3 linked regions of the Rhinolophus ferrumequinum genome follow. The protein of the gene in region 1 interacts with the protein of each later gene in a pairwise test. Links are inferred from orthologs where the notes say so. Each region holds a gene or a part of one and is shown in the gene's direction. Other genes may lie near its edges.

Region 1 (7,817 bases):
GTGGCTGCTTGCTCTGTTTTGGAAGGAAAGGCTTCAATTCAGCCTGTGAAAATGTCAATGAAAACAAGGAGATAACAGCAACCCTTGCAGGGAGGCATATGAGTAAAATCTATCTGCCTGTCTTCTCCTGGGAGTTGTCCTCTTCTCTGGGTGGGTTCTAAGAGGGAAGGAGGCTTAAGCTGTCCTTCAGGGTTAGTTCTAAGGCATATGGGACAAGTCTGGAGATATTCTGTCAATCTGCTAGTATGTTCGGTCCTATGAAATGCCACTCAGTGATTTCAGTGAGTGCTTGAGCTCCAAGGTGGGTGGTATGATGGAAGTGATAGAGACGCTTCCATTGGGAGGCTCGTGGGATGAACAGATTCAGGGCTGGATCTATGAGCCAGCCCTGGGGGTTGGATGTATAACCCTTCTTCCTAGCCTTAAGGGCTTCCTGTGGTGTGTAATTAGATTGAAAAGTAAAGCCCATTGGAAGGAGGGGAAGGACCTTAATATCGTGTTTCCCTGAAGATAAGACCCAGCCGGACCATCAGCTCTAAAGCATCTTTTGGAGCAAAAATTAATATAAGACCTGGTCTTATTTTACTATAATATAAGAAGACGCATTAGAGCTGATGGTCCAGCTAGGTCTTATTTTCGGGGAAACACGGTAGTAGAGAGGGCATCCTGCTTGGCTGTTTGGTCTGCAAAATTGTTGCCATGGGAGATCTCATCTGTCTTGGATTGATGTCCCCTGCCAGTGAATGATGGCTACTCTGACAGAGGACTTAACTGCTTCAAATAACTGGAGGATCTTGGCCCCGAGTTTAGTGGGGCTGTTCTGGGCTGGAAGGAAACCCTTTTTTAGCCAGATTGCTGCGTGAGCGTGGAGGATATAGTGGGCATACTACAGTCAGTACAGATTCCAACTCGGAGGTCTTTGGCTAGAAGGTGTGCTCTGGTTAGAGTGATGAGCTGGGCTTCTGGGCTGATGTGGAAATGGGACGGGGCCTGCCTCAATTACCTCTGATCTGGAGACAATGGTGTAACCAGACTTCTGCTGCTCCCGATTAATGAAACTACACCCGTCTGTGAACCAGATGGCATCAGGGTTCGGGAACGGGGTGTCCTCTAGGTCTTCCCAGGCAGAATGGGAGAGGTTTAGGGCCGTTAAGCATCTGAGCTCCTCCTGGGTGGATGGATCCGGTAGAAGGGTGGGGGTGGGGGTGGGAGTGGAAGTAGCGTATTGCAGGGTTTTATAGTGAAGTCCAGGGAGTCAAGCCGAAGGGTTTGGAACTGTTTGACAGCCAGTGAGGGGCCTTAGCATGGAGGATGTTTATTACTTGGTGAGGAGTGTAAATGGTCAGAGACTGGTTAAAAGTAAATGTTAAGGCTTCCTTTAAAAGTAAAGCTAAGGCAGCTAGAATTCCTAAACAGGGAGGCCAGACTTTTGCTACCCGATCTAGGTTCTTTGATAGGTAGCCCACTGGGCGTGGAACTGCTCTTAAGGTCTGAATAAGGAGTCCTAAAGCAATCCCTCTCCTCTCTGAGATGTAAAGGGAGAAAGGCTCGGAGAGGTTGGGGAGAGCTACGGCTGGGGCCTCAGGAAGAACCTTCTGGACAGAACGGAACACCCGCTCTAATTCCACATTCCAGTCTACATAAAGGCTCATGATCTGGACCTTTTAAAGCCGTGTACACAGGTTTGGCTGTGCCTCCGCACTGGGAATCCAGATCTGGCAATACCCTACCCAGCCATACCAAGGAAGGTCCTTAATTGTCTCTTGGTGTTGAGAGGCTGCATGGAAGTAACGAGTTCTACTCTTAAGGTGCTCAGTTGTCATTGCCCCGGTGAGAGTACAGACCCCAGGGATGTAACCTGTTGTTGTGAAATCTGGGCTTTGGAGGCTGATACTGTATATCTCTGCCTAGTGAGGAAATTTAGCGTCTCGATAGCATGTTGCTCTGAGCTTTGTTTATTGGGACTGCCGATTAGAAGATCATCCACATATTGGAGAATGGTGGCTTCAGGGAGGCACAGGTCTCTTAAGCCCCCGGCTAAAGCTAATCCAAAAATGTGTGGACTGTTGCAGAAGCCCTGTGGTAAGACAGTCCAGGTGTATTGTTGGCAGACCTGCATGTGAGGTAAAAGCACCTGTCCAGGTAAAAGCAAAAAGAAATTGGGACCGGGGATCTAAAGGAATACAAAAGAAAGCATCCTTTAGACGGGGGTATCCAAGCTGCGGCCCACAGGCCAACTGCGGCTCGCAATCCATTGTTAATTGGCCCACAGCAAATTCCAAAAATATATTTAGTTTACTTCACTAAACCAGGTGAGGCAATACGTACTTCACCTCGAGTGCGTGGCCCGGCTGTTTGTGTATTTTACCGCATATGGCCCTAGGTGAAAACTGTTGAAAAAAGTTTGGACACCCCTGCTTTAGATGTAGGACAGGAAACCATTCCGTTTTGGGTGGTATTAGTCCCAGAGGGTATATGGATTTGGACAAGGGAGTGTATTGGGATTACTGCCTTATTGATAATGCAGAGGTCTTGGACTAGCCGATACTGACCAGATGGTTTCTTGACTGCTAAAATGGGAATGTTGCAAGGTGAATCGCAGAGGATTAAAATGCGGTACCTGAGGAATTAATTAATTGTTGGTTGAAGCCCAAGTTAGGCCTCCTTGTTGATAGCATACAAGGGAAAGTTGTGGGGACTTTCAGCTTAATCTGGACTGGGGTGATGTGGGATGCCTTCCCCTGGGATCTCTTGATTCCAAACTGCAGGATTGACTAGATTATTAACCTGAGGAGGGATAGAAAGGAGGATGGACTCTCCCACTTGACTAGGAAGTAACAGCCTGCAGAGAGGCCAGTAGAGAAGGCTTAGGTGTTAAGTGGAGGCTAGTTTGTAACTTCTGCTAGTTTGTAACTTGTAATATCCTGCCCTAGTAAGGGAATCAGGCACTGTAGCATTACTAAAAAGCAATGGGTAAATATGAGGGACCCGAGGCAGCTTGAGAGTGAGAAAGTACACCTGTAGGTTGTCGGGTTTCCCTCAGTGCCTGTAAGGAGAAGAGCTGAAGGAAGTGTAGGGCCAGTGTTGGATAAGAGCAGAGAAAGCGGCTTCCGTATTGATTCGAAAGGTAATATTTGTACCGGCTACATCAAGTGTTACCCTGGGTTCAGCCTCAGTGATATTGAGGAGGGAAGTCTGGATGATCCCCAGGGCCCATCATGCGAGTGGGTCAGAGTTGTCTGGTTCATTGTTGACGATGACCATTGGCAGGAGCCGATTGGAGGAGGTGCCCTTTTGGCCAGCATGGAATCTGGGTGGCTGCCTTCCTTGAGAGGAAAGGGGACATTCCCTCTTCCTGTGTCCTTCCTTTTTGCAAAGGGGACAAGGGCCAGAATCCGCCTTCCTGGCCTGGTGTGGGCAATCTTTATTCCTGTGCCCTTCTCAACAGCAGGTGTAGCAGATGTCTGGGCCGGTCTTCAGGGGTCTCCCTCTATGAGAGCCTGAACCCGGGTAAGGCTGCATAGGAAGTGCGCTGGCACGGGCAGCAGCTATTAATTGAGCCCTTCTGTGATCCTTCTCCTCGGTTTCCTAACCCTAGACTCCCTTTCAGCTTCATCTCGGTTGTTAAAGACGTTAAAGACCGTGTCCAATAGACTAGGAAGCTGAGGGAAAGGGGTCTGAGGTCCTAATTAAAATTTCTGGAGTTTTCTCCCGATGTCTGGAGCTGATTGTTCAATGAAATACATGGCTAGTATTGTGGCTCCATGGATCTAGGTTGGTATATTTTCTGAGGGCATCCACCAGGCAGGATTGAAAAAGGGCCAGATTCTCATTCCCGCCTTGAGTAATACTCTGTAGTTTACACGCTTATTTATACCTTTTTTCATCCCCTCAATTAGGTGACCATATGATCTCTCTGAAGCCTGTCTTGAGCTTGGAACTGGTAATCCAAATGATTACCAGCACGGTGATTTGGGACCGCCTCTGCCCCAACCGAATGTTGGTCTGGTTGGCGCGCTGCTAACTCATCTGCATATCACTGGGCTAAAGCCCAGATACAGTTCTTTTCTTCCACGATACAACAAGTGGTAAAAATAGTATGTATATCTTGCCAGGTAAGATCATATAAGATGGCTGCTAAAACCCGCTTCATTTATCTAGAGCTGGAAGAAATAGCAATCTGGCACTTCTTGCCTTTTAAGTCACTCTAAAAGTTACTTATTTTATTTTTGTGTGTGTTACCTAAGAACGTGAGCTCTATGAGGGCAGGGATTTTTGTCTCTTTACCACCATATTTTTAGCTCTTGGAGCAGGGCTTTGCACAGAGCAAGCGTTTAATAAACATTTACGGATGGAGGAATTGAGGGAAAGAGAAAAATGAGGAACCGAGGCGGGAGAAGGACGGAGAGGAAAACCGGAAGAACGAATGGGGAGTGAGGAAAGAAGAGAGGCCCAGTCCCGCTTCCCGCGGACGGGTCACACCTCCCAGCTGAACTACAACTCCCAGCAGGTCCCGGCGCCCAGGGCGGGCTAGGCGGCTCTAGAGAGACCAGGTCCCAGCCCACTAAGTTCCCGGCGTGCCTTGCGAGCGCAGGCGCCCGCCGGGACTTGTGGTCCGGGCCGCGGGCGGGGGGTGGGGCCGGGCATGGAGGCGGGCGGGGGCTGGGGGCGGGCAGAGGCCCCTCCCCCGTCACTTCCTGCGGGGCTGCGGGCGCCGGAGCGGCTCTTCAGGGTTTGCGCCCGCGGCGGCCGTGTCAGGTTCGGCTCCCCGCTTCCTCTGATCCCCGGCCCGGCGGCGCCCGCCTTCTCCGCGGCCACTCCGTCTCTTCCCTCCTGCCGTCCCTTCTCTTCCCTTCTTCCTTCCTCCTTCCCCTCCTCGCCGCCGACACCGCCGTCGCCGCCGCCGCCGCCCAGGACCGCCGGCCGGGGGACGAGCGCCGGGGAACAGCCAGGTGAGGCGGCCAGGCCCGGCCTGGCGGCGCCCGCGCGGGCGCCGCGGCCGCGGGGAGGTGGGCGGCGGGTGGGGCCTAGGCCTCGGCGGGCCCGCGCGCCGGGCCTCCTTCCCCGGGCCTCCCGCTCCGCCCGCGGGGCCTTCCCGGAGGAGGCGGGTCCTCCCGCGCCCCCCGCGTCGGGGCGCCCCGCGGCCTGGACCCCAGGCGCTCCCAGCCCTTCCACCTCTTATTGGGGCCAGAAACAGGTGCCACGCCGCCTTTCCTCATTCCTCCGGGCGCGCCGGGATGCCGAAGTTATTCCCGGGGCGGAGGCGGAGGGTCCCCGCTTCAAGTCCTTGAGACCCGGAGCACCTAAATCCCCCCAAGCAGGTCTGTAGCATAGTAGTTAGCGCACCACCCAGGTGTTCAACGCGGGTACAAATCCAGCTTCGTCCCCGTAGGCCAGTCACCTAAACTCTTTGTTGTGTTGGTTGGAAAAAGGGGCTAAGGCTGTCCCTGCCTCTTAAGGCTGTTAAGGTTCAGTGAATTGGGGCGTGTAAAGCGCTTATCAGAGTGCCAGACCCACAGCGTGTCCCAATAAACCGTCTGCATAATTTATTAGCGTGATATTAAGGTATAACTTAGTGGGTAGAGTGGACATAGGTTGACCTACCTCCCCGTTTGAGTTTCCGTAGAGGCAGAAATGTTCAGCGTGCCTACCGCCAGCGCCGGCTTATTGTTTTGGGTTGTTAATATCTGAAAGGGGTGTACGTTTAATTGGGACACTCTGTAAGTAGGCAGTCTGTGACAGATAGATGCTGTTCTTTCCATCTCCTCCGCTGATCCACCTGCAAGATTTTCACCAGCTCTCTCCGTGTGAGCAACCTGTCCATTTTTTTCTGCCATCATCCGGCTTCTTGTTGTCATTCCATTTCTGGGAAAGTTGCTGGCAGAAGCTTTCCTTGAGTTCAGCAAACCCTTCTGGAGCGCTTGCTGTGTGCCAGGCTCTGGAGGGGGGTGTACGAAGCTGGAAAATGTGTGTCCTTTCTTGCCTGCATCTCTAACTTCTAACTTTTTTTTCACTGCAGCTGTGCTTTTATTCCCTCCGTCCCTGTTGGCTGACTTTCCTTTTAAGCCCTTGCCCCACCTCCGTGTCGCAGTATTGCTTATGTGGAAGTTTTCTTCTGCTCGGCGAAGATGTGTGCTTCAGTCTGTTCTGCCTCTGTTCTCTGGCTGTGGGGACGTTTTTAAGGTCACTCTTCCCTTCTGCTTGTAGCTTTAATTGTTTAGAGGGTGGTGGAAAGAGAGTTAAACCAGATTCTTGGTTGTTTTTGGGTTTTCAAGAATCGGTGTGCTTACCAAATGTAAACTACTTTGCTGCTTGTTGAAATAAAAACTACAAATACAGTTGGATTGTAGAGCGAGCAGTTTCGGTCATCCTGGTGACAGGTAGGATTTATAAAACAGCAACTTTATTTAAGGATGCAGAGTTTCTTTTAATTCTGTACTTAGTTCTGTAGGTGTACCCTTCATTAAGAAAATATAACTCATGGTGGTTCAGATTTACAGAAAAGTAAGGAGTGTCTTTGCTCTACTGAATGATCCTCCTGTACGTTGGATTATTTTAGGTAATACATTTCCTCACTGAACTTTAACTGTTTTGATTTACCACCATCTCAATAACACTCGTGATGCAAACTGGTCTCCCTGTTACTGACATTTTCCTAGAATTTTCTGACACATAGTCTTACCATCGTTTCTAGTTTAAAATCTTTGGATGACTCTTTAAAAACACGTAAGCAAACAACTAAACAAGCAACAGAAGACAAAGCATGTCTTTTGCCATATGGAAAATTGTAGTGTTAAGGAAATGATGTTTTAATACTGTAGTAGATAACCTAATTAAAAAAACCTTTTTATTATGGAAAACATACAAAAATCGAATAGTATAGAGAATCCCCATGTATTGGTCACTCAGCTTTGATAAATATTAACTCATAGCTAGGGTCAGTTTTTCTTTCATGTAGTACTGCCTCCCCCAAACTGGGTTTTGAAACAAATCTGAAACATCATATAATTTTACCAGATTTTTCCAGACTGTTAATCTGTCACAAAATTTACTTGTAGTAGAATCACAGTTCTCATTTTGTTTGTTGGGCTTCTCATCATCTCTTTTGACATGGTTACTATACAGTAGAAAAAACAAACAAACAAAAAACCAGCCGAATTATTATAGCTCTTGATTCAGTGTTTACCCCCCTCAAAGTCATATCCAAAGTACTTCCTGACTTCTTTGTGTGCAGAAGCAACGTTCTTGAGCTATTAATGTCTATAATGGAAAAGCAATCAGAAATACAGATCCCTAATCCTGTTTTGGTGGAGGTCTACCTGTTAAAACCACTTTTAATGCAGAATAACTTTATGGCAAAGTTAAACAACAGTTAATAATTCATAATAAAACTTTGAAAGTTTCTTTACGTCCTTGTGTAAATATGCTGCTGTCACCTTAGGTTAAGAATTAAGCAAAGGATATTTGATTTCAAAACTCTGTTGTAGACTTATTTTCCAAAGATCCCACCTCCCCATCTGCTATATTTACAAATATTTACTAAGTGTGAATGAATTCACAGCATAGATATTCATGTTTTTCTTTCTTGTCCAAAAAGAGATCTCTCCTAGAATGGAAGTTGACAGGAATATATTATTTGTCTTACTGCTTAATTTTCACATTTCTGGTCATGAACAGTTTCTAGCTTTTAGACCTGTAACATTGTTATTTCAGTTATGCAGGCTTATTTTTGAGCTTGATCAGTTACAGTGAAAATGTATGTTATGTTTTAGTTATTACAGCCTGGGAGATGGGGAGGGATATGCATACCTCTTAAT
Region 2 (7,855 bases), on another chromosome or scaffold:
GGCTGCCTTGGGACCAGACAGCTCTCGAAGGCTCCTCCACCCCTGCCTCACCGCACCTCACCTAGCAGACCGCCTGCCTCCCCAGGCCTCCCGGGCAGATGGCTGAGCCATGATCTGCACAGGGCTCCTTTTTGCTCCAGAGTACCAGGGCAGGGACTGCTAGCAAGTGTATGGGGGCGCTGATTACCCACTACTAAGCCCCTTCGTGCCAGCTGGAGACGAACCTAAGAGTTTGGATCCGAAATGGCATCCATCCGAAGGCACCAAGATGGGGTGGTGCGCTCGGGAGTGGCCTTCCCTGGCAGGACTCGCCATTTCACCGCCCTCCTCTTTTTCATCCCTCCATTTGAATGGTGATCCACAAGTGCCCACCTTTCTCCAGAGCCATCACCCACCTACATGACCCCGCGGGGCCGCCTTTCACCCTCTCCTGCCCCTTGGGACCTAGTGCATCCTTTCGCCCTTTGTCCTCATCCCTGGACAGCTGCCCCCTCAGGACAAGGATGCCATGCAACCCCGATTCTCCCAACTCCGTGACCCCACCTAGGCCCCAGACAGAAGCAAGCATGAGTATGTAGACACCGCCCCTCTGGGGGCAGGCCCACAGGGGGCTAATTACAAGATTAAAGATTTCAAATGTGGGCCCAGCGTACTTGGTTTTCCCCTCGAAAATTATCAAAAGGCAGGGATGTGTTCAGAAACTACAGCCTCTCTGGGCTGGAAGGGACTATGGAAAGTACATATTACAACGCCCTCATCGTCCAGAGCTGGAGAAACTTTGCCCATGGGCATACTGAATCCAGGTGGCTGCCCTCTGGGTTAGAGGGTTTTGGGCCTCAGTGCTTTTCCACACACACCATCTCAGCAGTTGCAAACTTTCCTTATACATATAAATGGCTCTATTTTTTTTTCCGATAGACACAAACAAGTTTATCCTACAAAATTCCAAATCATTCTTTGAAGCAAGTTGTTTATGTAAATGGATATAGATGAACGCTTATTAAACTCAGCTACTGCTGGCTACATTTGAGCTATCTAGTTCTATCTGGAGCCAGCTATACCTACTTGGTGTTTCTAGATTCTAGATTCTTCAGAGTGTTAGAAAAGAATTAAGAATGGTAAGGGTAGTGCCCCTTGAACACACTGGCTGTGTTCCCCACATAACAGAGAACAGTTTACTGATGAGTAGTAAACTGTACTTGGTTAGACAGTACTCATTGCGGGCAATTGGGTTTAGACATCTGTTCAGCATCACCTCTATTTAACCTACTCAGGTTGTCCTCATTAGGGCTTTTCACTTAGAACACCGTTATAGCAATCATATACTGTATTTTTAGCATCTTACATAAACTACCCCACAAATACCCAAGTTATATAACCAGCCCCTTTTCCCCCCTCCCCCGGCTTTCCTCCAGCCTCTCATAGATTTACAGTAGGGGTGAAGAGGTGTGGGGGATCCCTGTCCAGTCACTGAAAACATTCACATCCCAGAGAATGGCCACTCCCCCCTCTGGACAGGGCTGGGTGCACATCAACAAAATGTGCTCCCTGATATCCTCCTCTTGTATTCCAGCCTTCACCTTCTGCTGTTACATTTTCATCAGGTGTCATGTTGCTGTGTTCCTGAGTCTGGGAGACTCTCTGCCTCCTCTCATTGTGTTCAAACAAACCCCTAGGGCTTGGATCCAGGGGCAGAAGCACCTGAGAGAGAGTTACAGTTCCCTCCTTTTACAGATGACAAACCACACTCAGAGATGGCCAAGGGACTTCCTCACAGACAAAGGCATAAACATGGTCAGTCCCAGGTCTCTGGATTCCTTCTTCAGTATGACTTCTATTAACTCAGCAGGTTCTCCAACCTCAGCGTTCTTATATACATATATCGCAGGAGGGGTATGAGCGGTGGTCTCTATAGCTCCTTCCATCTGTGCAATATGTGTGGATATGCTACTGGATAGGTACTGATTATATGACACTTTACTGTTTTCAATGCAGACGAGAATGTTGCCAACTGAAATTAATCAGGAAGAGGGCATAATTTTGCTTGGCTCTTGAAGCTTAAATTCAGGCTTTTTTAATGAAAAGAATGTGAAGGAACAAATGGTAAATTCACCCCCGTTAAAAAACAGGTTCAAATACTCATCTTCAGCTGACGGGTGTCCAAAGAAAGCACTATGCTACATTACTCTTTCATAGGAGTTTACCTAACTCTCTCAGGCAAAGTCTCCTTGTGGTGTGTGTGTAGGGGGGTGAGGAAGGGTGGGGGAGGGCAGGGCTATGCAGGCAATGATGGTGATAAGCATTTTCCAAATTAGGAAACAGATATGCTTTTCTTCTTACTCTCTTACATAACTGATCTATTTTAGAAGACAACACTAAAATTAAAACTGAAATGAAATACAAATCTCATGATTTTACTACTTTGTTAGAAAAGACCAAGCAAGTAATGCTGAAAGGAAAACAGAGGAGAGTTCTTCACCCCATTGCCCTCCTCCCAGCCTGGGGGCTCTTTCACAGAATTCTCTTTTCTCCCTGGCAGCCTCCCTGGGTGAGTCAGAGACCAAAGTCCAAATTTTAGAAAATGAACGAAGAGATACACTCATTTTTCTCTCCTCTGAATTTAAAAAGCAGTCGCATCAGAGTGCATATCCTCTTTTGGTGGCACAGGATGACTGTGAAGAGTGAACTGTCATAGAGCCAGTGATTGTTTTGCCCCAGACTTCCGGATTCAGAGGGAAATTGTGCAGTACACAAAGGCCACAGAGGCAGTACAGCCTCTTACATAAATAAGTTACATAAATGAGAACCAGTTATGTAAATGTATAAACCAGCAAACATGAATTATTACCATTCACAAACGCCAAGCAGAACACGGCAAGGTTCCTCCTACAGTCCCATTTTTTCCCTCTCCCATTATACTTGTACCATTTTATTTCACACCAGAATCAAATGTGGTTGTCACATTTACTAGGGAAAGAAACTCCAAAGGACAAATGAAACTTTATATTATTTTCTGAACCATACATGACAAAACCTGATTTAAACTGTATTTAATAAGATATGCATGTTCACCAATTTTTCATACTTCTGGTGTAATCATGAACATACTTACTGCTCAGTAATTTACTATTTACTATTGCACATTTTGCAAGCTGCTGTTAAGGACAGGAACGCATCGCAAACGTCAATGTCCACGTACCTAAGGATACCTGTTGTACCACTTATGGTTTCAAGTCTCAGTGAGTATGTGGGCATCTGACTGAAGTCATTCTGCTTATTGAAGGAAGGTAGTAATTTAGGGGGTTAGAATTAGGTTCAAGATTATGCTCATGAATTAATCCCAATATTCCCCACCTCAAATGACTAGAAGTTGCTCCTTGGGTCTTAGCTGTAATTTGCTCGGGGTTTGACGTGAGTGATAAACTTGTTTGCCTCTGCACACTGTTTGGAACAAAAGCCTCAGCTTTTCCTCAGTTAGCTTTTTCCTTGTTCCTTTTGGGACAATATATCTCCATCTCCTCCGAAGTTACACAATTTGCTCATTGTGTAGTAAAAACACATGTAACTCAAAGCACTTTTGAGCGCAATTACCTGTTCTGTATAAAGATGGATATTAAACGTTGGCCGATTTCAGACATAGCATGCTCAGGCTAACATTCCATCTAGCAGCTTATTTTGAAAATCTCATGTAAAATAGTATTTCTAAGCTCTAACATGGTAACATAATAGTAGAATCAGAGTTAGGTGATCTTAAAACCTCTGTATAATATTAGCAATGTGATTTTGGGCAAATAACTTGCCCTCTCTGGGCCATTGTTTCTAACCATTCAAAAAATAACTAAAAGTTCTAAGTCACTTTCCAGCATTAACAATCTAGAACCCTATAATCAGATCTGTAAATATTTCAACTGAGAGCTTTAAACTCACTGCCATAAAGTTTAAAGAAAATATAGAAACGGATCTTTTTTTGTCAGCAGAACTGCAGATTCTGCTTGGGTTCTAGTTATACGGTGATAACTATGTGAAAAGCATTCATCCTGGTGTTTACTCTTCAAAAACGCCAAATATGGGTCTTTGCTAGCTGTAGGGCAGTGAATGAGATGTGGAGGGTAGAACTGACACCTCGGGAACGTGTGGGCTCTCTCCCTTGAGGTGGGGGTGAGTTTTAAACAGCAAAGAAAACAGTAACTTGGCACCACGGAATACTGTCTTGCCCTCTGGAAGGAGTCACCTCAGGAACGTGGGTGGGGTTATATTATTTCTCAAGTTGATCGACTCTAGACCTGAGGAGTCACAAAGTCATCAGACTGACTTTACGCATTCCTAGGCCCTCTACGTGTCTATCTGTAACTTGGGCATAAACTAATGAAAATGCAGATTTGTACCTGACAACCCTGACACTACAGCCGGAGGCTCTCACAAAGGGCGCGGGTCCCAACTCGGGTGGGCGGGGATTTAGGGCTTAGTCCCACGAGGCCAGCCTCTTGGCAGAAGACCGCCGAGGAAGCAGGCATTAGGGGAGAAGCCGTGGCAGGTGGGGGGCTTTCGGCTGCGAAGGGAGGGCGATGAAGGTCTGGGCTCCTTCGGGCTTTGTTCAGTTACAAGCCAGGCCCTTCTTTCGGGGGAAGCCAATTAGATCCCCGCTGGTGGATCATCTGACCTCCTGTCCCTCGCCAGGAGGGGCTTCGGGAGGGGCGGGGCCAGCCAGTCGGCCCCCTGGGGACCCGGCCGGCGGCGGTGCGGGGGAGTCGCGGGTGCTCTAGCGGAGCCCGGCCCCACCCCGCGCACGCCAGGCCCCGCCCCCGGGGCTTCCCGGGCGCGCGCCGCCCCGCCGTGTCCGCGCGCCACGCCCCCCTGCTCGCGGGCCGCGTGCGGAACCGCGCGTCGGGGAGACTCCGGGACCGTGGCGGCGGGCGGCGGCGGCAGAGCAGCCCTCTGCGGGCCATGTCTTCTCCGGCCGTTGCGAGGAGCTCCCCCGGAGGGAGCCGGGAGATGGCCCCCAGGCCGCGGAGCCGAGGCCGGTTCTGGGAATTGGGCGGCGGCAGCGGGGACCGGCTGGAGCGCGCGGCCGCGGAGTCGGAGTGCTGGGAGCTGCTACTCCGCCGCGGCGAGCTGCTGGCTTTGGGCGGCCACCTGAAGGGAGCGCTGGAGGCGTACGCGGCGGCGCTGCGCCGAGGGGCCCCGGTCAGGCCCGAGTGCCTGGGCACCCTGGTGGACTGCCTGGTGCTCAACTACCGGCTCCGCCATGGGCTGGGCTGGAGCGCGACCCCGGCAGCGGGCGCGGACTCCGGCGCCGGTGGGCTGCTCAGCTGCCTGGGCTGCCGGGACTTTCTGAGCGAGCCGGTGACCGTGCCATGTGGCCACAGCTACTGCCGCCGCTGCCTGCGGAGAGAGCTCCGCTCCCGCTGCCGCCTCTGCCGGGACCGGCTGCCACCCGCCGTCACCGCTGCCACTGATGCTGAGGGCACCGCTCCGCGGTCCCCGCCTCTGGCCACCGCCATCGCCACCTCTGGCTTCAGAACCAGCGTCGTCCTCAACCACCTGGCCGAGAAGTGGTTCCCGGGCCAGCGGGAGCGAGCCCGGGCGACCGGCCGGGTCGCAGAGCTGCTGCACCAGGGGCGCTACCGGGAGGCCCTGGCCGCCGCCTGCGAGGCGCTGCGAGCAGGTGACTGCGCGGGGATGCGGCGCGAGCCCGGCCGACCCCACCCTCCTGTCGGGATGGGATAGCTACCCAAGCTCGTCTGTGCCCCCGGGAGGTGTCTCTGCTTCCCCAAGGCTGCCTGACTCCCTTGTGTCGGGTCTCGGGCTCCTCGAGAGTATGGGAGGGGGCGGCGCCCTGGGGTGCTTCGGTCACAATGGGGATCGCCGTCGGAGCCGACTGTGACGCGGCGCGGGGAGGGGCGCACAGGCGCGGGGTTCCCTCGGACGCGGCCTTGCGGTCTGGCGGGCGCCTCCTGAGCGGAGTGGGGGCGAGGGCGCCGGAGCGCGGGATGGGTGGGAGTTGGGCGAGCCGGAGCGGCCGCTCGCTTCCTGCCGCGCTCTTTCCGGTAATTGGCCGCTCCGCAAACGACAGCCGGGGCGGAGAGAGAGGATCCTAGGCGGGCAACGTTTACCTTTGTCTCCCACAAAAGTCACTGGGGCAATTTGGAAGCCGCGGGAGGGCAGAATTGCATAAGCTGTGTGTGTATGGGGGGGGGTGCGTTGTGTAACGGGTGACGTCCGGTGGGCGTGGCGGGAGCTCGGCGCCCGCACCCAGCACCCGGGGGCCCCGCTGGCCACTCGGCTCTGGGCGGGTGTCCGAGCTGCCCAGGGGTGTTCAAGCCTTCCCTGAAAATGCCTGCGGAATTGGTTCCTCTTGATAGTTTCAACCTGCCTATTTGAAATCATACTTATTTCATCAACATATATGTGCTTTGTTTCGAATACACCTAATTCACGGTCCAAGATAAAGAGGTAGTCTCATCGAGTTCTTTGCCACGCTTCTGTTTGCCTTTCCACTCTTGATCAAGTTGTGGGGATAGGCCTTTAGATCTTTTGTCTATTTCTTCACCTCGGAGAAGCAGCTTCGGCCACCTAACCTAGCTTAGCACTTTTCTTAAGGTGGTTTTAGGCTGTGGAAGGGGACATTTCAGACTTACCTATGTAAAATGAAGAATTGTTATTTAAATCGGTTGTTCTCTGCCTGGGGGAGTTTACCCCCCAGGGGACATTATCTGGAACTGTATCTGGAGACATTTTTCATTGCCACCCCTTGTGGGATTGGTGCTGGTACATCCAGTGGGTGGAGGCCAGGGATGCTGTTAAACGTCCTGAAATGCACAGGACTGCCTCCCACACAATCGCCAGGCCCCAAATGTCAACAGTGTCATTGTTAAACCTTGTGTTAAATCAGCGTATTTCAAGCTTAGCATCTATGATGACTTGAAGTAATACTTGGAAAATAATCCCCAAGAAAATAGAAATCTAAAATGTCACGGTTGCTAGCTCCCGGATTGTGAAAGAATTCAAGAGGCACAAAGGAATAGAAGTTACAAAGTTTATTTAAAAAGAGAAACACTGGCAGAGGAGTTGCCAGGGCCAGAGTGTGGAGTAGACCGCTGCCCTGAGTTTCTGTTTAGCTGGGATTTTATACTTTTCTAACCAGGATGTAATTTGCTTGGGCCTGTAGTGGAATCTTCTATTGTGTTCAGCATTGCCTTTTGCCTATTGGGGTGGGGGGAGGTGTGGTTAAACTTGTTATCACAGTCTTTGTTGTGTAAACTTAAGTTAGAGCACCCCCTTAGCCCCCCCCCAGTCAAAAGACTACCCCCTAGGCTGGTTTCTGTTTACCCATACCTGTCTTATAAAATAGAAATTGATGTTAGATATTAGGTAAATTTATAAGCTATGTAACTGAAAGTATTTTTTTTATGGTTCTTTTACTCTAAGTGCTTATTAGACCTTTTTGCTTAGAATATATCAAGTTATTTAACACCTTTAGAGCTCAAAGCATAAACTTGGCATGTTTTCATATTCTTTCACTATTTTTATGGGGATGTTAAACCCAGAACAAAAAAGAACTATTTGGAATACAAAATTCTGATACAGACAACTCTGTGGCTTTGGCTGAACAGATTTTAAGAGGGGTGGTACAGACCATCAAGGCCATGGTCCTTATTTTGAAAGTGAAGAAGCAGGATCTAGGGCAGTGAAATGACTTGTCCAGAGCCCACAGCTAACTGGTTGTAGAGGGAACACTGTATTTTCCTTCCAGTTCTAAATGTTGGAGTACTCATCCTGCCTTTATAGCTCATCCAATGAAAATTTTTAATATAAATTTCCAAGGAAGATTTTTTTTTTTGGCATTAGTATAAAA
Region 3 (7,837 bases), about 34 Mb from region 1:
CTTCGGACTCTTCCGGTAGGACAGCCCACTGCACTCACACATTTGCTGAAGTGCAAGTGTCCTGGTGTATAGGGACCTAGCTCACAGTCACATAAGCTAGCAGACAATCAAGATCTCCTGCCTCTTGGGATGCTGTGTGCCTGCGAGCAGGCCAGCAGGGCCTGTCAGATGGTTTTCCTTATGGAATGCTCTTTGTTTCACTAAACCTATATAACCTCGTTTCTTATCTGCCTAAGCGCAGAGCACTACCCCTCCCGCTAGCCACCACCTGAGTCTGTAAGTCTCAATAAATCTATGTCCTGCACTCAGCCACCTGGTGTGTTCTTTGGGCTTGCAGCTTCTCAGGAACAAATCTTGGAACAACTCAAACTCAGTCCGAACATAGTGTAACCTGTTCGCTTTTCCCTGCATGTTTGCTTTACTGGTTTCTTAATGAAAACTTTGGATGTTGGGCCTGCAGAGAACTGCTTCAGAAAATGTGCTCAATGGATATCTACAAAGCACTGCAGAACTGCGAGGGCTGGGAGCTAAGGAGGTGCCTCCAACCAGGGTCGCCCATACTCCTTGCCAGGTTCCTTTTGCAACCACTCAGATCTGAGGTGGGCCCCTCGGTTGCTATAGCAATGGGACCAAAACTTCATCCCATCTCTCAAGTGGTTTCAGGCTCAAGTTCTTCCTGGGGTGTGAGGAGTCTGGAAGGAGGGAAAGGTCCCAATCTATTGCTGCCCTTTTCTGGAACTGCAACTAAAGCCTCTGCCGCATAAGTCCTTCCAAATGTCCCCTGAACTCTCGTTACTGATTTTCCTACATGAATCATCCACGTTTGTACTCTCAGGTACTTAAATCAGTGTCCCCAAGTGACTGTGTAAGCTCTGATTCATCGCAGCCCTGCAATCCTTTCTGAGCTCAATTTACTCTGAAAATAGCTCTATTTTTCCATGTGATTTCCATTTCCACTTTTCCCTCCTATTAAAAGTATAATAAACTCTAATATTCAGCAGATACAGAAGATACAACTAGTATATTGGCTGATGCAAACAGCACAAGAGACCGACCCTCAGAAAAACATGCAATGTGATGTGAGGTCATAATGATGGCTACTGTATATTGAGTTTCTTCTATGGCAAGCACAATTGGGCCTTTTACTTTTCATTGTACCTGTACCATGAAACAAGGTCAACCAGGTCAGCCATGCCTATGGCTTTGATTTCCACCTGCAATCAAATTCCCAAATCTACACCTTCAGGCTGAATATCACCCATGCTCCAGCCCCAATACCAAATGGTCATCTCCGCTTAAATACCCATACTGCCGCCCCCAGCACAGCATTTCAGAACTGCACCCATCTCTCCCCCTAATCACCCTTCATTCTGTATTTCCCATTGAATCTAGTGGAATCACTATGTACAGAATTATAAAAGTAAGGAGTCTAGATTTATCTTTATTATCTCTCTCCCCACCACCTGCAATCATCTAGACAAATCTAGACAAAGGATAGGAGATATAATCAGTTGTAGAATGGAAAGTAAATGTAGTCAGCCTTGACATTGTAAATACAAAGATATTCCTGACTATATTAGTTAGAATTAGATTTGATGGCATCTAACAAATAAACTCGAAATGATGTAAAAAAAGTCACATAAAAGATGTCTATGTGTAAACAATCCAGAGCTCTTGCGGCAGCTCCATGAAATCACAATGGAACCAAGTCCGTCCCTAGGATCTAGCCCACATCTGCCTGGTTCAAAAGGGCAGCCAAAGCACCAGCTATCACATCTGCATTTGGGGTAGTAGAATGGAGAAAAAGGGAAAGATGGCCCAGTCTCCTTACTTTTAGAAAATCCCACACTGCAAAGTACATCTTATCAACCGAAAAAGTCATATACCTGACACAGCTAGTTGTGAGAGAAACGAGGAAGCATGGGTTTCAGGCTGGGTGGCCATGTGTGACATTACAAGTACAGAGTTGACAGCAACTCCCTGACTGTGTACAAAGATGGGACTTAGGAAGAGATAGTTCAGAGAACTGCTATTTTCATACAAGAGAGCAGAAAAATGATATCCTCTATCATTGATAGAATAGGAAGCAGAGGAGTAATAGCTTTTTTAAAGCTACAAAGTAACCACTGCAACATAATGAAATTGGCTAAACATATATCTTGTGAATGAGCCTTCCTTGTAATGAAGTCATTGGAGACTGTCTCAAGTTGATGAATCAAGCAATTGAATTACAAGCTTATTATTCAGAATTATAGAGGTAACAGCAAAACAAAAACAAAAAATAGAAACAGTTGCAAGTGTTTGCCACAGCCTCTCGTGGCAAACAGATGCTGATAGATCCTGCACCAAAAAACTATATTGAAAATGAGGAAAAGCTTAATGCTGTGTTTAGACTTGAAGATCCAAAATTCACCTGTCTTCAGAGCTGCCAAAGGCTTGGTGTGCATGACTATATGTGGTCTTCTTCCTTGGATTGACTCCACACAGCAAATGGAGCCACTTGCTTCACTGCTGCTTAAGCCAGGCTCATTTCCAGAAGGTGCCCATGTGATTTGGTGACAAATCCTACCAATTTGTCATTATGCTCATCCGAAATTTAAAAGCCAGTTGTTGAAGGAATTGTTGGCAAATAAGGAAGTTGCAGTTGATGCAAAATGTCGAAGCAAACTAACTTTTCCTGGATGCTTACTTTGTGCTCTGACCCTGCGCTAAATACTTACTATACATTGTTTCATGAGCTCCTCAGGTCAACCCAAGGAGATGGATATTATTACCATCCCCATTCTACAGATGAGGCAGCTGAGCTTCAGGGAAGTTAACTCACTTGCCACAATCACTCCGCTAAGCCACAAGGATTTTTGACTTAGAAGTACCTTTACATGTAAAGAAGTTTCTGGAATCATATTTCAACCAATGGACTGAGACCTGCCTTGTTCAATCAGAACTGTGCCACTGTAGCCTCATTTACATCTTTACCAAACAATTAGAGCACCTCCATAATGACCAATCAGGACACATGATTCCAACCAATTAGGACAGTGCTATGTGGACCAATCAAACTATGCAAATTTGGATTCCTCATTTACATAGAAATGGACTGATCAGGGACCAAAGCAGGAACTTTCTCTATAAAAGCATCTTTCCCAAAATTCCTTTGTTTGTGGGGGAGAGAGGTGAGGGAAGCAAGCACATTTTCCTTTTTCACCGGATGCTGTGTTTCCTGGGTTTGCAAACTGTTCACCTGAGGAGTCTCTCCTTTTATTGACCCTTGATTGGAGACTCTTGTTGGCATTAGACTGGTGGCTGGGGACCTTTTGTTGACAAAATAAAAAGAGCTTACATGGGAAATATGAGGAAACTTAAGGCAACACAATATCCAACCTAGTGGGCATGCAGTAAGTCAACTCTCATTTTCATTCCATTGATGCTATGATGTGGATTTTTGTATATTACATACTAATTTCACTGCCTCAGACTTTCTGAAGACATTTTAGTGTGAATACTATCCATAGATGCTAGCTCACCCTCTCTATGCAGCCTCCAACTTAATTTTTTATAATCCAAATTTTTCACCTTCTTGATTTAAGTGTTGGGGGGGGATTGCCTATATGAAAAAGCTCACCCAGTTTCTAAATTTGTCCTGAAACCAGAGAGCAAGAGTTATCTTAGGAATGCAAGCAAAGGTATGTCATAAATAGATAAGGTATGAGATGAAGGCACATACACTCTAAAGATCAGTAAACCTCCCCATCCCAAAGGCTCTGACAGATTTTCAAGGAATTAATATTCAGCCTCTCAGACCAGTCGATGGACCTGAGATTCTTGTGTCCGAAGAAACCAAAATTTTAAATTTATGCTGTAAACTTTAAGTTTCCCAAGTCCCACGCTAATTGGTTCTATTCTATTGAGCCTGTTTAAAAAAAAAAAAAAAAAAAAAAAAATTCAGTGGGAAAAAAAAAAAATCAGCCCAGATTCCAGCTTAGCTGAAATACAGCTAGTTTTAGGCCTGGAGAACAGAAAGAATCACAATACCAACCAAGCTCTGAGCCACAGCTGGAGCCAGGAGGTTTTCCTAGCCCAATTCACAGGACACACGAAGGTAAGTGTCCCTATTGGCATACTTTTGTCACTTCAAGCCTTATCCACCCGCTCAACTCTTTCCTTTCTCACATTTACGTAGTTAAGTTTCCCACTTAACAAAAATTGATTTCCCTCTATGTATCCTTTAGGATCAGATCAGGTACTTGATCAGGTAGACTTCAATAGAAACTCTGCCAGCTTCATCATCTTGGTGGTTAATATTCCTGGTTCCCTCACGGGACATCCTGACTCTCCACATGGTATCTCCTATTAAAATCCTTAGTTGGGTCACTGTCTGGTCACTGTCGCTGCTGGTTTCCCGTGATCGCATCAAGTCGTGAAGTTTCTCTAGTGTTTTAATTAGTATCACCCCCAACTACTGGTGAATAGAGGACGTGGGAGAAGGGACCTCTGCGTGACCCGCACACATTCCCCATCCTCCCCCACTAAGCGATCTCGTGTAGCAGAAGGGCCGACCCACGCTCAACGCGGGCGATTGGACTTTTGAGTTTTCATCCAATCAGGGACCCAACCTGACCAGTTGGGTCGGATTCTATGATCCGGTTAAACCAATGAAAAGTCCAGCACGGATATGCTGCGGTCTTCTGAAAAAGCGCCCCTCCCGGAAATCGCCACCTCCTCTGAGCCACACCTAGGCGGAGCTAGCCTCCGGGCCCGCCGTCCCACTGGTTGGCACAGTTGCCCGTCACAAGGCGGTGGGCGTGGCCGGGGTCGGGGGCGCTGGCTTATGAGCGAAGAACCGACAGCCGCAAGCGGTAACCCGCAGAGGCCGGTGTCAAGCTGCTGGCTCAGAGGGCCGGGCACCGGGGAGGAGCCTCACGGGAGGAAGAGGAGGGGCGGATGACGGCTTTTCCTGGCTCCTCCTGAGGCGAACGGCGGAAGAGTGCAGGGCCGCGGCAAGCACGCCGGCGACCTTCCGGGGCCGGCCCTCGGTGGAGTTGCGGCCAGGGTGGGGCACAGCGGACTGGGGCCGCGGTACCCCAGCTGACCGAGGCCGCCACCGCCCACGCTGACCCCGGGCCGCCCAGCTGGCCGAAGTCGCCGCGCACGTGACTCGAGGCCACCCCACTCACCCTCGACTTCACCGGCGCAGGTTCGTGACCCCCCCCCCCTTCAGTCATTCTGAAGACCACAGATTAGGCCGAGGAATCCACTAGACCCACGTGTGTACCCCACGCCCTCCCTCCATTGTCAGGAATAAGCCGGTTTTGTCCTTGTCCACGTGGCGGCGTTGCAGTTCTGTATCAGGCTATCACATGTGCCGAAAGCTAGGCAGTAAATTCGCCTGGGGATTAAGAGTATGTACTGGAGCTGGAGCAGGTCCCGGGCCAGAACATGGCCGGGGAGAGTATACTTTACGTTTTTGATTAAAAGCCACTCACCACCTGACCTGAAATGAGGCCTGATGCATCTTCTCTGGTCCCGCTCCAAAGAACTGGACGGTGGGGACTTTTGAAGACGGCGAGCTTCACAGCCTCTTCTTCCACTTATCAGGATCATTATTTTCTCTAATTTGATACAGACTGGCTAGCCGGAAGCTCCGTGGGTGACCGAACCACAGGAAGTGGCGGTGGTCATTTTAATGCGTATGGGGGCGGAGCAGGTTAATCTGGACAGACTGCTTTGGCAGAACTGGAGAACGTGAGCCAGGAACGGGTGGAGATGGAGCGTTTCCAAAATTGAACTGAGATGGTGGAAAGAGAGGAATGTCAATGTGAGAAATACTGTGGGCTTTGGGTCGTTGGGAATTCCAGCAAAAGAGAAATGTGGGCCCCTGAAAGAGAATTTTCAAACTAGCCATCCTGGAACTGTGCTGTTACAGACTTGATATCAAAAATGCAGGAACTTAAAAAACAAGCAAGTAAAAGAACAACATAGTCTTGACAACATTTTCAGGGGCAGCACACGTTCTTATAAATGATAAATCAGGAGTGTACTTACTGTCAAGACCTTGATCCAGACCTAAGTTTCAATTTTCTTATTAGTAAAATTGTTTTTATAGTAATACCCTCTCACCATCCATTTGTGGTGACCATTAAATGAAGTAATGCATGTAAAACACTTAGCAAGTACTAACTCAAGAGTGTTGAGGCTTGACTTTAGGTCCATGGAGAGAGTGGAAAACCCAACATCTGTACCTGGCTCTGGAACTGCTCATTTCTAGAACCAATCTCCCTCCCAACTCCTTACAGTTCTTTACAGGAGGCGGAGGGCTCCACCTTTCTCAGCCCTTAAGAGTACCTGACTCCTTCCCAGTCCTGTGTGGAATCTTTTATGTATTTCATAAACTGATATTAAAAAAAAAAGTTCCGGTCTGTGAAATGAAAAAAATTTATCAATATTTAATTTTGTAATTCGAAACATATCCACTATTTTAGTAATGTTGTCCTCTGTTGGATTTTTTTTTTAAATTTGTTTAGTGAAATATTTTAACCATGCAGAAAAGAACAGAACTAGAACAGTGAACCAGACCCTGGAAAAAAAAACAAATAATGATATTTCTTTATGCTTTTGGACATTTTTTTTTTTAAGAAATGTTACATTTCAGCTATAGTTGAAGCTCTTTTGCCACCACCAGCCCCACCACCACCCCATAGAATTTCTTCGATTCTAACTTGTCTTTCCATCATGTCTCACAGAACTTACCTGGTGGGTATTTGTGCTCACAGATAATAGGTATTTTCCATTCTCATTCCCAGTAAGCCTCCAGGTTTGCTTCTTATAGCTGATAAGGATTATGGCCACCATTTTGGTTCTGTCCTCTTGGCATTTGTTCTCTTACCATCTTAAGAAGCCTCCCCTTTTTTTGCCCTTCCAGTCTCCATTGGGTGAACTCATGATAGGCTTTCCCAGACTGTCACTAGCTGATTAGCATGCACCATCTAATTGGCCTTTATTGGGTCACTGTTCACTTCAGCATGGTCCACTGTCTTTACCCAGGGTAAACTGGTTCCCTACTTCTCTAGGGACAGTCACACCTGTTCCATGCTTTCAGGAAAAAGTGGCTTTCCGTAGTCCAATACTATATTTTATAAAAGAAGATGTTTAAAATTCATAATAATAGCTACCATTTTCTGAGCATGTAGGTATCCAGCTTTGTAACTATACAGTTGGTATGTATTGTCTTATTTGATTCTCACATTACAACTATGCAACAAGTGGTAATATTCCCATTTTAAAATGAGCAAAATGAGGCTCAGTAAGAATAGATGCTGGCAGCAATTTGAGCCTAGAGTCATCTCTCTACAGTATGTAATTGTTTTGCCACCGATAGAAGAGCAGGAGTGTTTCATTGTCAGGGCAGAACGAAGTTTGGCATTCACATGAGTTCTCTTCAATCTTCCTGCCCCACAGCCCCGGCTCCATCAGGTGCCAGAAGCACCTGGGCTGAGATCTCCTGCAGCAAAGCCAGAGATGGCATCAGTGGACTTCAAGACCTACGTGGATCAGGCCTGCAGGGCTGCTGAGGAGTTTGTCAATGTCTACTACACCACCATGGATAAGCGGCGGCGTCTGCTCTCCCGCCTATACATGGGCACGGCCACCCTGGTGTGGAACGGAAATGCTGTTTCGGGACAAGAGTCCTTGAGTGAGTTTTTTGAAATGTTGCCTTCCAGTGAGTTCCAAATCAATGTGGTAGATTGTCAACCTGTTCATGATGAAGCCACCCCAAGCCAGACTACAGTCCTCGTTGTGATCTGTGGAACAGTGAAATTTGAAGGCAACAAACAACGGG

The links. The genes of interacting proteins can lie anywhere in the genome.
Region 2: the proteins of STAU1 (region 1) and LONRF1 interact in binary tests that used the Homo sapiens proteins (3 or more experiments, as listed by UniProt). The two-hybrid records come from large-scale screens. The link is inferred for Rhinolophus ferrumequinum from reciprocal best matches to the Homo sapiens genes STAU1 and LONRF1.
Region 3: the proteins of STAU1 (region 1) and NXT1 interact in binary tests that used the Homo sapiens proteins (3 or more experiments, as listed by UniProt). The two-hybrid records come from large-scale screens. The link is inferred for Rhinolophus ferrumequinum from reciprocal best matches to the Homo sapiens genes STAU1 and NXT1.

The regions. Positions count from the first base shown.
Region 1 is NC_046306.1:10,051,461-10,059,277, forward strand, and holds the start of STAU1 (double-stranded RNA-binding protein Staufen homolog 1), read left to right. Parts: upstream 1-4,817; 5' UTR 4,818-4,952; intron 4,953-7,817. UniProt on the Homo sapiens protein: Binds double-stranded RNA (regardless of the sequence) and tubulin.
Region 2 is NC_046287.1:69,225,504-69,233,358, reverse strand, and holds the start of LONRF1 (LON peptidase N-terminal domain and RING finger protein 1), read left to right. Parts: upstream 1-4,841; 5' UTR 4,842-4,944; coding exon 4,945-5,665; intron 5,666-7,855.
Region 3 is NC_046306.1:43,765,978-43,773,814, forward strand, and holds the start of NXT1 (NTF2-related export protein 1), read left to right. Parts: upstream 1-4,823; 5' UTR 4,824-5,194; intron 5,195-7,455; 5' UTR 7,456-7,515; coding exon 7,516-7,837.